Linked DNA regions of Saccharomyces cerevisiae S288C. The gene in region 1 interacts genetically with each later gene. Each region holds a gene or a part of one and is shown in the gene's direction. Other genes may lie near its edges.

Region 1 (5,212 bases):
CTTTTGGCTGTTAAGACGCAAAATTCCAAAGGAGAAATCAAGTATCCCGTAAAGGCTGTCAATGTGTTGAAAGCTCATGGTAAATCTGCCACTGAATCACTGTTGGTGCCAGGTTATGCTTTGAATTGTACAGTTGCTTCTCAAGCAATGCCTAAACGTATCGCCGGTGGCAATGTGAAAATCGCATGTTTGGATTTGAACTTGCAGAAAGCTCGTATGGCAATGGGTGTTCAAATCAACATTGATGATCCGGAACAATTGGAGCAAATCCGTAAACGTGAAGCTGGTATTGTTTTGGAAAGAGTGAAGAAGATCATTGATGCTGGTGCTCAAGTTGTGTTAACCACCAAAGGTATTGATGATTTATGCTTAAAGGAGTTCGTTGAAGCTAAGATAATGGGTGTAAGACGCTGTAAGAAGGAAGATTTGAGAAGAATTGCACGCGCTACAGGCGCCACTTTGGTTAGTTCTATGTCTAACTTAGAAGGTGAGGAAACTTTCGAAAGCAGTTATTTAGGTCTTTGTGATGAAGTAGTTCAAGCCAAATTTTCTGATGATGAGTGTATCTTAATTAAGGGTACTTCTAAACATTCATCTTCTTCGATCATTTTAAGAGGTGCCAACGATTATTCTTTAGATGAGATGGAACGTTCTTTGCACGATTCTCTTTCTGTTGTCAAAAGAACGCTTGAAAGTGGAAATGTTGTCCCCGGTGGAGGTTGCGTTGAAGCCGCATTGAATATCTATTTGGACAATTTTGCCACCACAGTTGGTTCTCGTGAACAGTTAGCTATTGCTGAGTTTGCAGCTGCATTATTAATCATTCCAAAAACTTTAGCTGTTAACGCTGCCAAGGATTCTAGTGAATTAGTTGCAAAATTAAGGTCCTACCATGCCGCTAGTCAAATGGCCAAGCCAGAGGACGTTAAGAGGAGAAGCTACAGAAATTACGGCCTAGATTTGATTAGAGGTAAAATTGTGGACGAGATTCACGCTGGTGTTCTTGAGCCAACCATAAGCAAAGTCAAATCCTTGAAATCAGCATTGGAGGCTTGTGTAGCAATTCTAAGAATTGATACAATGATTACAGTGGATCCAGAACCACCCAAAGAAGATCCGCACGATCATTGATTCTTTGCGTAATCCGAACGAGATTCTGTATCTGCATGTAAACTAATAAACCTATATAAAATTTAATTATATTTTTTTCAGCTAGTTCTATTTTTGAATTTGATCGCTAACTCTGGGCAGTTGATAAGCGCTTCCCAGCTTTTCACGTGCGAGGTGGACTAATACGTAATAACGCGTACCTATTAGGACTTCGTTGAGTTGTTTTTCTTGTCCAAATGCAGAAGCGGGTCCCTACAAACTATTGTGTTTGTTCGTAAACGAGCAGGAACCCTGTTAAAGGAAAAAAGCTTAACGCTAGCGTTACATTTTAGTAAGGCGGCAATAAAAAAGAATGCGGAGTGTATTCCATGAATTCAATTGCGCTTACTGCTAAGCCTGTTTCTAAACATGATCCCCAGGGTGAATATCTCCCATAGTGGCTGTGTTATTCTGTCTAAATGTGGCAGCTAAATAAGGTTTTTTCCAAGCTATTTTTTTCTCTAAACGAGCGCACCTTAGCGGGATCGCGTCAAATTTTCGCCCAACGAATATTATTCTATTGTCTTCAGTGAATGTGCTTGTCGAAATCTATATATGCGCCGCCCTGGCAGGATCAGCAAATACAAGTTACTTGGAAAGTCGCGGCATAGAAAGTAGACACTTCTTTTGTCAAAGATTGATATTGCTTTCAGGGTGCGATAGTGCTGACTGTTCCTCTAAACAGCGATTTTTTACATACATTAACTTTTTGAAGTTGTAGGAACTATCTTTTCTCATTTATCCAACACTAAAACAAAATTGAGCTTTCCAGAAATAGTGAATCAAAAAAAGTTAAGTACAAATATTTACAGTTCAGCAGTATGAGCGAAGTCGGTATACAGAATCACAAGAAAGCGGTGACAAAACCCAGAAGAAGAGAAAAAGTCATCGAGCTAATTGAAGTGGACGGCAAAAAGGTGAGTACGACTTCAACCGGTAAACGTAAATTCCATAACAAATCAAAGAATGGGTGCGATAACTGTAAAAGAAGAAGAGTTAAGTGTGATGAAGGGAAGCCAGCCTGTAGGAAGTGCACAAATATGAAGTTGGAATGTCAGTATACACCAATCCATTTAAGGAAAGGTAGAGGAGCAACAGTAGTGAAGTATGTCACGAGAAAGGCAGACGGTAGCGTGGAGTCTGATTCATCGGTAGATTTACCTCCTACGATCAAGAAGGAGCAGACACCGTTCAATGATATCCAATCAGCGGTAAAAGCTTCAGGCTCATCCAATGATTCCTTTCCATCAAGCGCCTCTACAACTAAGAGTGAGAGCGAGGAAAAGTCATCGGCCCCTATAGAGGACAAAAACAATATGACTCCTCTAAGTATGGGCCTCCAGGGTACCATCAATAAGAAAGATATGATGAATAACTTTTTCTCTCAAAATGGCACTATTGGTTTTGGTTCTCCTGAAAGATTGAATTCAGGTATCGATGGCTTACTATTACCGCCATTGCCTTCTGGAAATATGGGTGCGTTCCAACTTCAGCAACAGCAGCAAGTGCAGCAGCAATCTCAACCACAGACCCAAGCGCAGCAAGCAAGTGGAACTCCAAACGAGAGATATGGTTCATTCGATCTTGCGGGTAGTCCTGCATTGCAATCCACGGGAATGAGCTTATCAAATAGTCTAAGCGGGATGTTACTATGTAACAGGATTCCTTCCGGCCAAAACTACACTCAACAACAATTACAATATCAATTACACCAGCAGCTGCAATTGCAACAGCATCAGCAAGTTCAGCTGCAGCAGTATCAACAATTACGTCAGGAACAACACCAACAAGTTCAGCAACAACAACAGGAACAACTCCAGCAATACCAACAACATTTTTTGCAACAGCAGCAACAAGTACTGCTTCAGCAAGAGCAACAACCTAACGATGAGGAAGGTGGCGTTCAGGAAGAAAACAGCAAAAAGGTAAAGGAAGGGCCTTTACAATCACAAACAAGCGAAACTACTTTAAACAGCGATGCTGCTACATTACAAGCTGATGCATTATCTCAGTTAAGTAAGATGGGGCTAAGCCTAAAGTCGTTAAGTACCTTTCCAACAGCTGGTATTGGTGGTGTTTCCTATGACTTTCAGGAACTGTTAGGTATTAAGTTTCCAATAAATAACGGCAATTCAAGAGCTACTAAGGCCAGCAACGCAGAGGAAGCTTTGGCCAATATGCAAGAGCATCATGAACGTGCAGCTGCTTCTGTAAAGGAGAATGATGGTCAGCTCTCTGATACGAAGAGTCCAGCGCCATCGAATAACGCCCAAGGGGGAAGTGCTAGTATTATGGAACCTCAGGCGGCTGATGCGGTTTCGACAATGGCGCCTATATCAATGATTGAAAGAAACATGAACAGAAACAGCAACATTTCTCCATCAACGCCCTCTGCAGTGTTGAATGATAGGCAAGAGATGCAAGATTCTATAAGTTCTCTAGGAAATCTGACAAAAGCAGCCTTGGAGAACAACGAACCAACGATAAGTTTACAAACATCACAGACAGAGAATGAAGACGATGCATCGCGGCAAGACATGACCTCAAAAATTAATAACGAAGCTGACCGAAGTTCTGTTTCTGCTGGTACCAGTAACATCGCTAAGCTTTTAGATCTTTCTACCAAAGGCAATCTGAACCTGATAGACATGAAACTGTTTCATCATTATTGCACAAAGGTCTGGCCTACGATTACAGCGGCCAAAGTTTCTGGGCCTGAAATATGGAGGGACTACATACCGGAGTTAGCATTTGACTATCCATTTTTAATGCACGCTTTGTTGGCATTCAGTGCCACCCATCTTTCGAGGACTGAAACTGGACTGGAGCAATACGTTTCATCTCACCGCCTAGACGCTCTGAGATTATTAAGAGAAGCTGTTTTAGAAATATCTGAGAATAACACCGATGCGCTAGTTGCCAGCGCCCTGATACTAATCATGGACTCGTTAGCAAATGCTAGTGGTAACGGCACTGTAGGAAACCAAAGTTTGAATAGCATGTCACCAAGCGCTTGGATCTTTCATGTCAAAGGTGCTGCAACAATTTTAACCGCTGTGTGGCCTTTGAGTGAAAGATCTAAATTTCATAACATTATATCTGTTGATCTTAGCGATTTAGGCGATGTCATTAACCCTGATGTTGGAACAATTACTGAATTGGTATGTTTTGATGAAAGTATTGCCGATTTGTATCCTGTCGGCTTAGATTCGCCATATTTGATAACACTAGCTTATTTAGATAAATTGCACCGTGAAAAAAACCAGGGTGATTTTATTCTGCGGGTATTTACATTTCCAGCATTGCTAGACAAGACATTCCTGGCATTACTGATGACAGGTGATTTAGGTGCAATGAGAATTATGAGATCATATTATAAACTACTTCGAGGATTTGCCACAGAGGTCAAGGATAAAGTCTGGTTTCTCGAAGGAGTCACGCAGGTGCTGCCTCAAGATGTTGACGAATACAGTGGAGGTGGTGGTATGCATATGATGCTAGATTTCCTCGGTGGCGGATTACCATCGATGACAACAACAAATTTCTCTGATTTTTCGTTATGATAGAAAATTTAAAAGTGCAGAATATTCGAAATAGATTCCCAAAAAAAAAAAAAGGGATATTGTGTTACCCAGTTCACAATGGAATTTTCTAGAAGAAAAAACAAAGAAGCCTCGCAACAAACCAAGATGGATTCAAAATGCCTACTTACCGCATTGTATGTGGGAGAATGAACATATCTGTAATTGTATTATATAAAAGTAGTTAGTTTTTTTTTTTTTTTTTTTTTTTTTTTTTTTTTATGTGTAATGCAAATACAAAAAGAACTGCAGGCATTTTGAAAGTTCACTCGTATAGGAAACTTTGATAGAGAGGCAATTCCTTACTTTCGTTATTCCTTTCAGTCTTATTCTTAATCGTTTATAGTAGCAACAATATATCAATATGGTCGTGAATAACCCAAATAACTGGCACTGGGTCGATAAGAACTGCATCGGATGGGCCAAGGAGTATTTCAAACAGAAACTGGTTGGAGTGGAGGCCGGTTCGGTGAAGGATAAAA
Region 2 (2,975 bases), on another chromosome or scaffold:
CGTTAGACTTCAAGTGTTCCTTTTATATCTCGAGGATTCCTACCATTCAAGCTAATAAATTTTTCACCAACCATTCCTTTTTTAGGATCTTTCTTATTTTGACCAAAATCTAAATTTAGCTCAAAATGTGGTGTTCCGCTTGAGAAAACACTCATTTGTACTATTAGTTTTCCTGATCTGGTAAAGAAATGAAAAATTAGGCTGAGTTGGCGACTTATCACTACAGACGGAAAGCCATTAATGAGCTTTTTTGTCTTTAATAATTTCCGAAATAGGAAATAGTAAGATCACTTAATATGAATAACTCCCAAGAATTACCATTTACGGCCCCTTCCAATAGAGGTGGGAAATGTGTATGTGCATTGTGAGGGTCGCCTAATTGGGCAGAAGGGGGGAGAAATGAGCGTGGCAAAGCAGTGAGATTGACTCGTTTTGCGGCCAGCAACGTGTTGGACATGGCGGACCTGCCTGCATTAATTATAGCACAAAGCCTATCATTCATCGCATCCTTGTGCAAGTTCTAAGTTCACCTCCATATGGATTAGCGGCCAGGATAATGGAAAAAATTTACCATACTTTTTTTTGCAGAATAGATCAACAGTTTGGTGCATTTGTTCCTTCTTGTTTTTTTTTTGCTTGTTTTTACAATTTTTACTGTTTTACTATGAACTGATGGCTGGTATAGTGACAGAGTTTCTACTTTTTTGCTACTTAGTAGACTACTATACTAACTAGGACATATGTTGTTCGTAACGGTAAATGCACTTAAAGTATTTTACTGTTTTTAATTGGATTTGCTTGTTGTAGTAATTTTTGGACTGATTTCGGTCAATCGCTATTTTAATTTTTACTGTTCCTTGCATCTTTTACTAATCCGAAATTAGCTCAGCTCAAATTTGTAGTTTACTAAAGTACGCTTTTCCTAAAAGACGAAAACACAAATATAGTGAAGACATTATCCGACTTTTTTGCCAAAAAGGGACAAAGCACGAAATTAAGTAAAACTGTGGTAAAAACTACAGAGGAACGTCGCATTGGCTAGCAAGGATCTATTGTTACTCTATCAAAACCCCTTTGCCAAGCTCACATATCCTATTTGCCGTTCCTGAAGGCATCCAACTAGGCTTGATATCATCTTACTTATATAGTGGGCTTCTGCTCCTTAACCTGATCAATTTCACCTCTAATTTTGTAGGATTCCTGAGAAAATACAGAAATTCTAACGTTCCTCTGATATATTACGAGTGAATCATTGGGTATATATAAGAGAAGTGGAGTAACAAAAGCTGTAGAAAGTAAGTTACACAGAGTCACAAAAGAATATCGACTTTTTGTGCAAGAAAATTCGACTGTTTTGACTCACAAAATTATTCTTTTTGCGAAAGAGTGGGGAAACGAAAACAGTTAAAAGAGTAAAATAACTTGTATACATATACTTATCTTCTTGTTTCGAAATTTCTGTTTAGTCTCGATTTTTTAATTCTATACAACTTACTGAAGAAGTGAACACCGCCCCAATATGCATTACAAGAAAGCATTTCTAGCATCTCTATTAAGTAGTATTGCGCTAACTGCGTACGCTCCACCTGAACCCTGGGCAACTTTAACTCCAAGCTCTAAAATGGATGGTGGCACAACAGAGTACCGGACCTCATTCGGTCTCGCTGTTATACCTTTCACCGTTACTGAAAGTAAGGTCAAAAGAAACGTCATTTCACAAATTAATGACGGTCAAGTGCAAGTAACGACACAAAAATTACCTCATCCAGTTTCGCAAATTGGAGACGGCCAAATACAAGTTACAACGCAGAAGGTGCCTCCAGTAGTGTCACATATTGTGTCACAAATAGGCGATGGTCAATTACAAATAACTACAGCTAAAAATGTTGTCACAAAGTCCACAATTGCTGTTCCAAGTAAAACTGTAACTGCGACAGCAACTTCAACCGCAACTGCTGTTTCTCAGATTCATGATGGTCAAGTGCAAGTTACTATTTCTTCAGCCAGTAGTAGTTCTGTGCTTTCCAAGAGTAAGTTAGAGCCAACAAAGAAACCAAATAATGAAAAAGTGATCAAGGTGCAAGCCTGTAAAAGTTCTGGCACCTTGGCAATAACGTTACAAGGAGGTGTTCTTATTGACTCCAGTGGTAGAATTGGATCGATAGTAGCAAACAGACAGTTCCAATTTGATGGTCCACCTCCACAGGCGGGCGCTATTTACGCTGGCGGCTGGTCGATAACGAAGCATGGCACTTTAGCTATTGGTGATAATGACGTGTTTTACCAATGTCTGTCGGGCACTTTCTATAACCTTTACGATCAGTCTATCGGGGGCCAGTGCAATCCCGTTCATTTACAAACAGTTGGTCTCGTCGATTGTTGAATCACCAACATTATAATCTTGCAGGTCTTGATTGTACTTCAAAAATATAACTAAAATAATAGTATAAAAGTAAGTCTGTCTTACTATGTATGGGGCGCGTTATAATTTTACGTATTCACAAACGAGTTTTCATTTACTTCATCGTTTTTATTTTCGGAGATGTTGCCTTCTGCATTACTCAAAGCGCACTCCAGCTTTTTCCAGCTGTTTCATCCTAAGTTTAAGTGCCATATAAATCAACGGTGGGAACCCTAAAACACTAACGACACTTCCCTTATAAAGAATGGATTTTTTGCCTAAGGTGGAATTGCCTATTAGGCTCGAAAGTTGAATGAGAAACCCCCAAACAATCGAAAATTGAGAGACATCACTGTACGTCAAAGAATGAAGTACTTTATGGAGGTCACTCTTTTGTAAGTCAAGCTCTTTCTCTTGATAGGTATCAAGTGCTGGCTTGAATATTCTATTGGGAGCGTCATGGACTATATTTACAATGTCGTCTTCTGCGATGGCATGGGGATCTTCTTGCTCTTTGGACTTATTCAAGCTATTTGATTCTAGATATAGGCATGCCAGACCTGTCCCATACAGT
Region 3 (2,479 bases), on another chromosome or scaffold:
GATCAGGAAGCGCTGGTCTTGCAAAATTTGTGGCTAGTATAGCAACATATCCGCACGAAGTTGTCAGGACGAGATTGAGACAAACGCCCAAGGAAAATGGTAAACGAAAGTATACAGGTTTAGTACAAAGTTTCAAAGTTATAATTAAAGAAGAGGGACTCTTTTCAATGTATAGTGGGTTGACCCCGCATTTGATGAGAACAGTTCCGAACAGTATAATTATGTTTGGTACATGGGAAATTGTTATAAGGCTACTATCGTAGCCTTGAAATCTAAAAAACTCTAAATTCACTTTAGGGCCAAGACATACTCTAACAAAAAAGTATGAAAAAAGTGCATTTTGTAAGGATATAAAGCCTGTCAAAGTTTATAGAAAGCTAACCTACTAAGGTTTGGACCCCTTCGTTTCTTCTCCTTTACTTTGCATTATTTATCGTAACATATCAATGATCCTTATTTACTTCATTCAGTAAATTGGTCCTTTTATACTTGTAAATATTTTTACCAGGTCACTAGTAACAATAAAATGTTTTAAAATATCAGTAGCGTGAAGTAAAATTCAATTACTAGATGATGTTGAAGTAGATCCCGTAATAATGGGCTTTTCCCCTGTGAAGGTGAACTTTAGAACATCATCCACATTGAAAGGTTTCGAAGGTTTGCTATCTCGTACTAGAAGTGAAGCGTGTTCTTCGCTTAGGGATTCTTCATTTTTGAAATCGTGCTTTCCATATTCGTTTCTAAACGTAGTGCGCGCCCAATTCGTTATTTCTCTGTCCTGTTGCAGCAGCTTTTCTATTTCTTCATCCTTTAGCAAGGCTGTAGTTACTCCAGATGTTTCCCTAACATATTTCATCCATTCGTCCACTTCAGGAATATTCTTCTTCCTCAAAAGGGTAGTGACCAAACTTTCATGAGAGGTGGTTGGGAATTTAGGCAAAGGGTAAACCACTGTAGAGTCTAAAGTTTCTTGGAAATGTTGTAGAGTGGAGGTTACAGAAACGAGCTGGGATAATGTGACATTCAGTTGTGATTGGAGTGTATACCATTGTGGCAGTTCGGCTTTGGACATTTCGTCTCTGATTCTCCTCAATGAATGAGTTAATTGAGCCAAACGCATGCGCACGGCATCTAAAGCCTGGCCAGGTACACCATTGAAATCAAAACTAACATCTTCTTGGAGGGAGCCTTGATTGCCCTCTGGTACCAGTGATGCAGTAGATTGTGACATATTCCACGTTGCTTTATGTTTTTCTTTTGTTCTTCTTGCTCGGGGTTCTCTTATATCGATGAAATATTTCAATATTAAAATCCTTAACTTTGACGAAAAGGCAATTTTTGTATATTGAGTTTCCTTACTTTTTTGAACAGAACGTACTTTTAGACACTTTGCAAAGGCCTTCAGCAAATTTTTTTGATTATTTTCAAATATCAAGGAAATATATTACCTTCAAAGTCATCCAATCCTTTTAGTTCTCGCATTCCATCATTTTATACTATATACGTTTGAGCTTAATGGATCAAAAGAAGGACCCAAGTAATAACTTAACAGAAAGAAGGGTTTCCAAGGTCCAACGCCCAAATAAGAAAAAGGTACGAAATCAAGTTGAATCACTTTCTAGAAACCTAGAGAGAAATAAAGAGGGACAGCTTCTGCAGACTGTATCAAAAGGTCATTTAGAAGCTGATTCTGGACACTCACTGGGTCGTGAAAAAGAGAACGGTGAACTCGGTATAAGAAGTATATTTTACGATAAAGACTGGAATCCAAGAGGCACTGCACCATCACATTACAGAAATATACCTTATAATCCTGCCACTTTCAAAAGGCGAACTGAAGTTCAAGCCAGACTGGGAAACCTCGAGAATATCAAAATACCAAAGTGAAAGTTCAAAGGTAATAAATGAGCAACCACTTTCTTCGAAATACAATATTGAAATCAGCATGAAGTCTGAGCGTAGTGTTTATTGTAGCAAGTCTTGAGCATATTTTATAAACTCTATTTATGTTTGTATATTCGTCTATCAAATGGTTGAATATGTAATAGGGACAGGAGCCATTAGCATGCCTGGCTTCAAGGAACGTTTAGGTCACGAATGTCCAACAAGGTTTCCTGCAGGTTTCCATATGTGAACTGAATTATCATTTGCCACACTGCACATTAACCAAGGGTCATGAGCGTCCCACGAAATGTCGTTCACACCGAGCATATGACCACCATGGGTAAATATAGTTTCTTCGCAGGAGGTATCCCATAGCTTGACTAACCCATCTTCTTGGCCAGCCGTTGCCAATACAGTATCGAAATTTGGACTCCATTCTAAAGTTGAAACGGAAGTACCGTGCTCCATGGTAGCGATTGGGCTTTTGTTCATGTTTCTAATATCCCATAAATTTAGCCTCCCATTTGAATCTGCAGATGCTAGAATTAAAGAGTTCTTATAGTTAAATCTACAGGAGTTTACTCCACCATCGTGT

Evidence for each region.
Region 2: mutations in UPC2 (region 1) and PIR5 together harm fitness more than expected from each alone (negative genetic interaction), as found in Saccharomyces cerevisiae (2 studies listed by BioGRID).
Region 3: mutations in UPC2 (region 1) and AIM4 together harm fitness more than expected from each alone (negative genetic interaction), as found in Saccharomyces cerevisiae (2 studies listed by BioGRID).

The regions. Positions count from the first base shown.
Region 1 is NC_001136.10:887,781-892,992, forward strand, and holds UPC2 (Upc2p), read left to right. Parts: upstream 1-1,970; coding exon 1,971-4,712; downstream 4,713-5,212. Other genes in the region: chaperonin-containing T-complex alpha subunit TCP1, read left to right, coding at 1-1,131; AHA1 (Aha1p), read left to right, coding at 5,095-5,212. UniProt on the Saccharomyces cerevisiae protein: Transcription factor that is involved in activation of anaerobic genes such as DAN/TIR cell wall mannoprotein genes and YML083c.
Region 2 is NC_001142.9:117,370-120,344, reverse strand, and holds PIR5 (beta-1,3-glucan linked protein), read left to right. Parts: upstream 1-1,519; coding exon 1,520-2,383; downstream 2,384-2,975. Other genes in the region: FMP33 (Fmp33p), read right to left, coding at 2,558-2,975.
Region 3 is NC_001134.8:608,523-611,001, forward strand, and holds AIM4 (Aim4p), read left to right. Parts: upstream 1-1,515; coding exon 1,516-1,887; downstream 1,888-2,479. Other genes in the region: RIM2 (Rim2p), read left to right, coding at 1-263; RNA polymerase II mediator complex subunit MED8, read right to left, coding at 560-1,231; MSI1 (Msi1p), read right to left, coding at 2,092-2,479.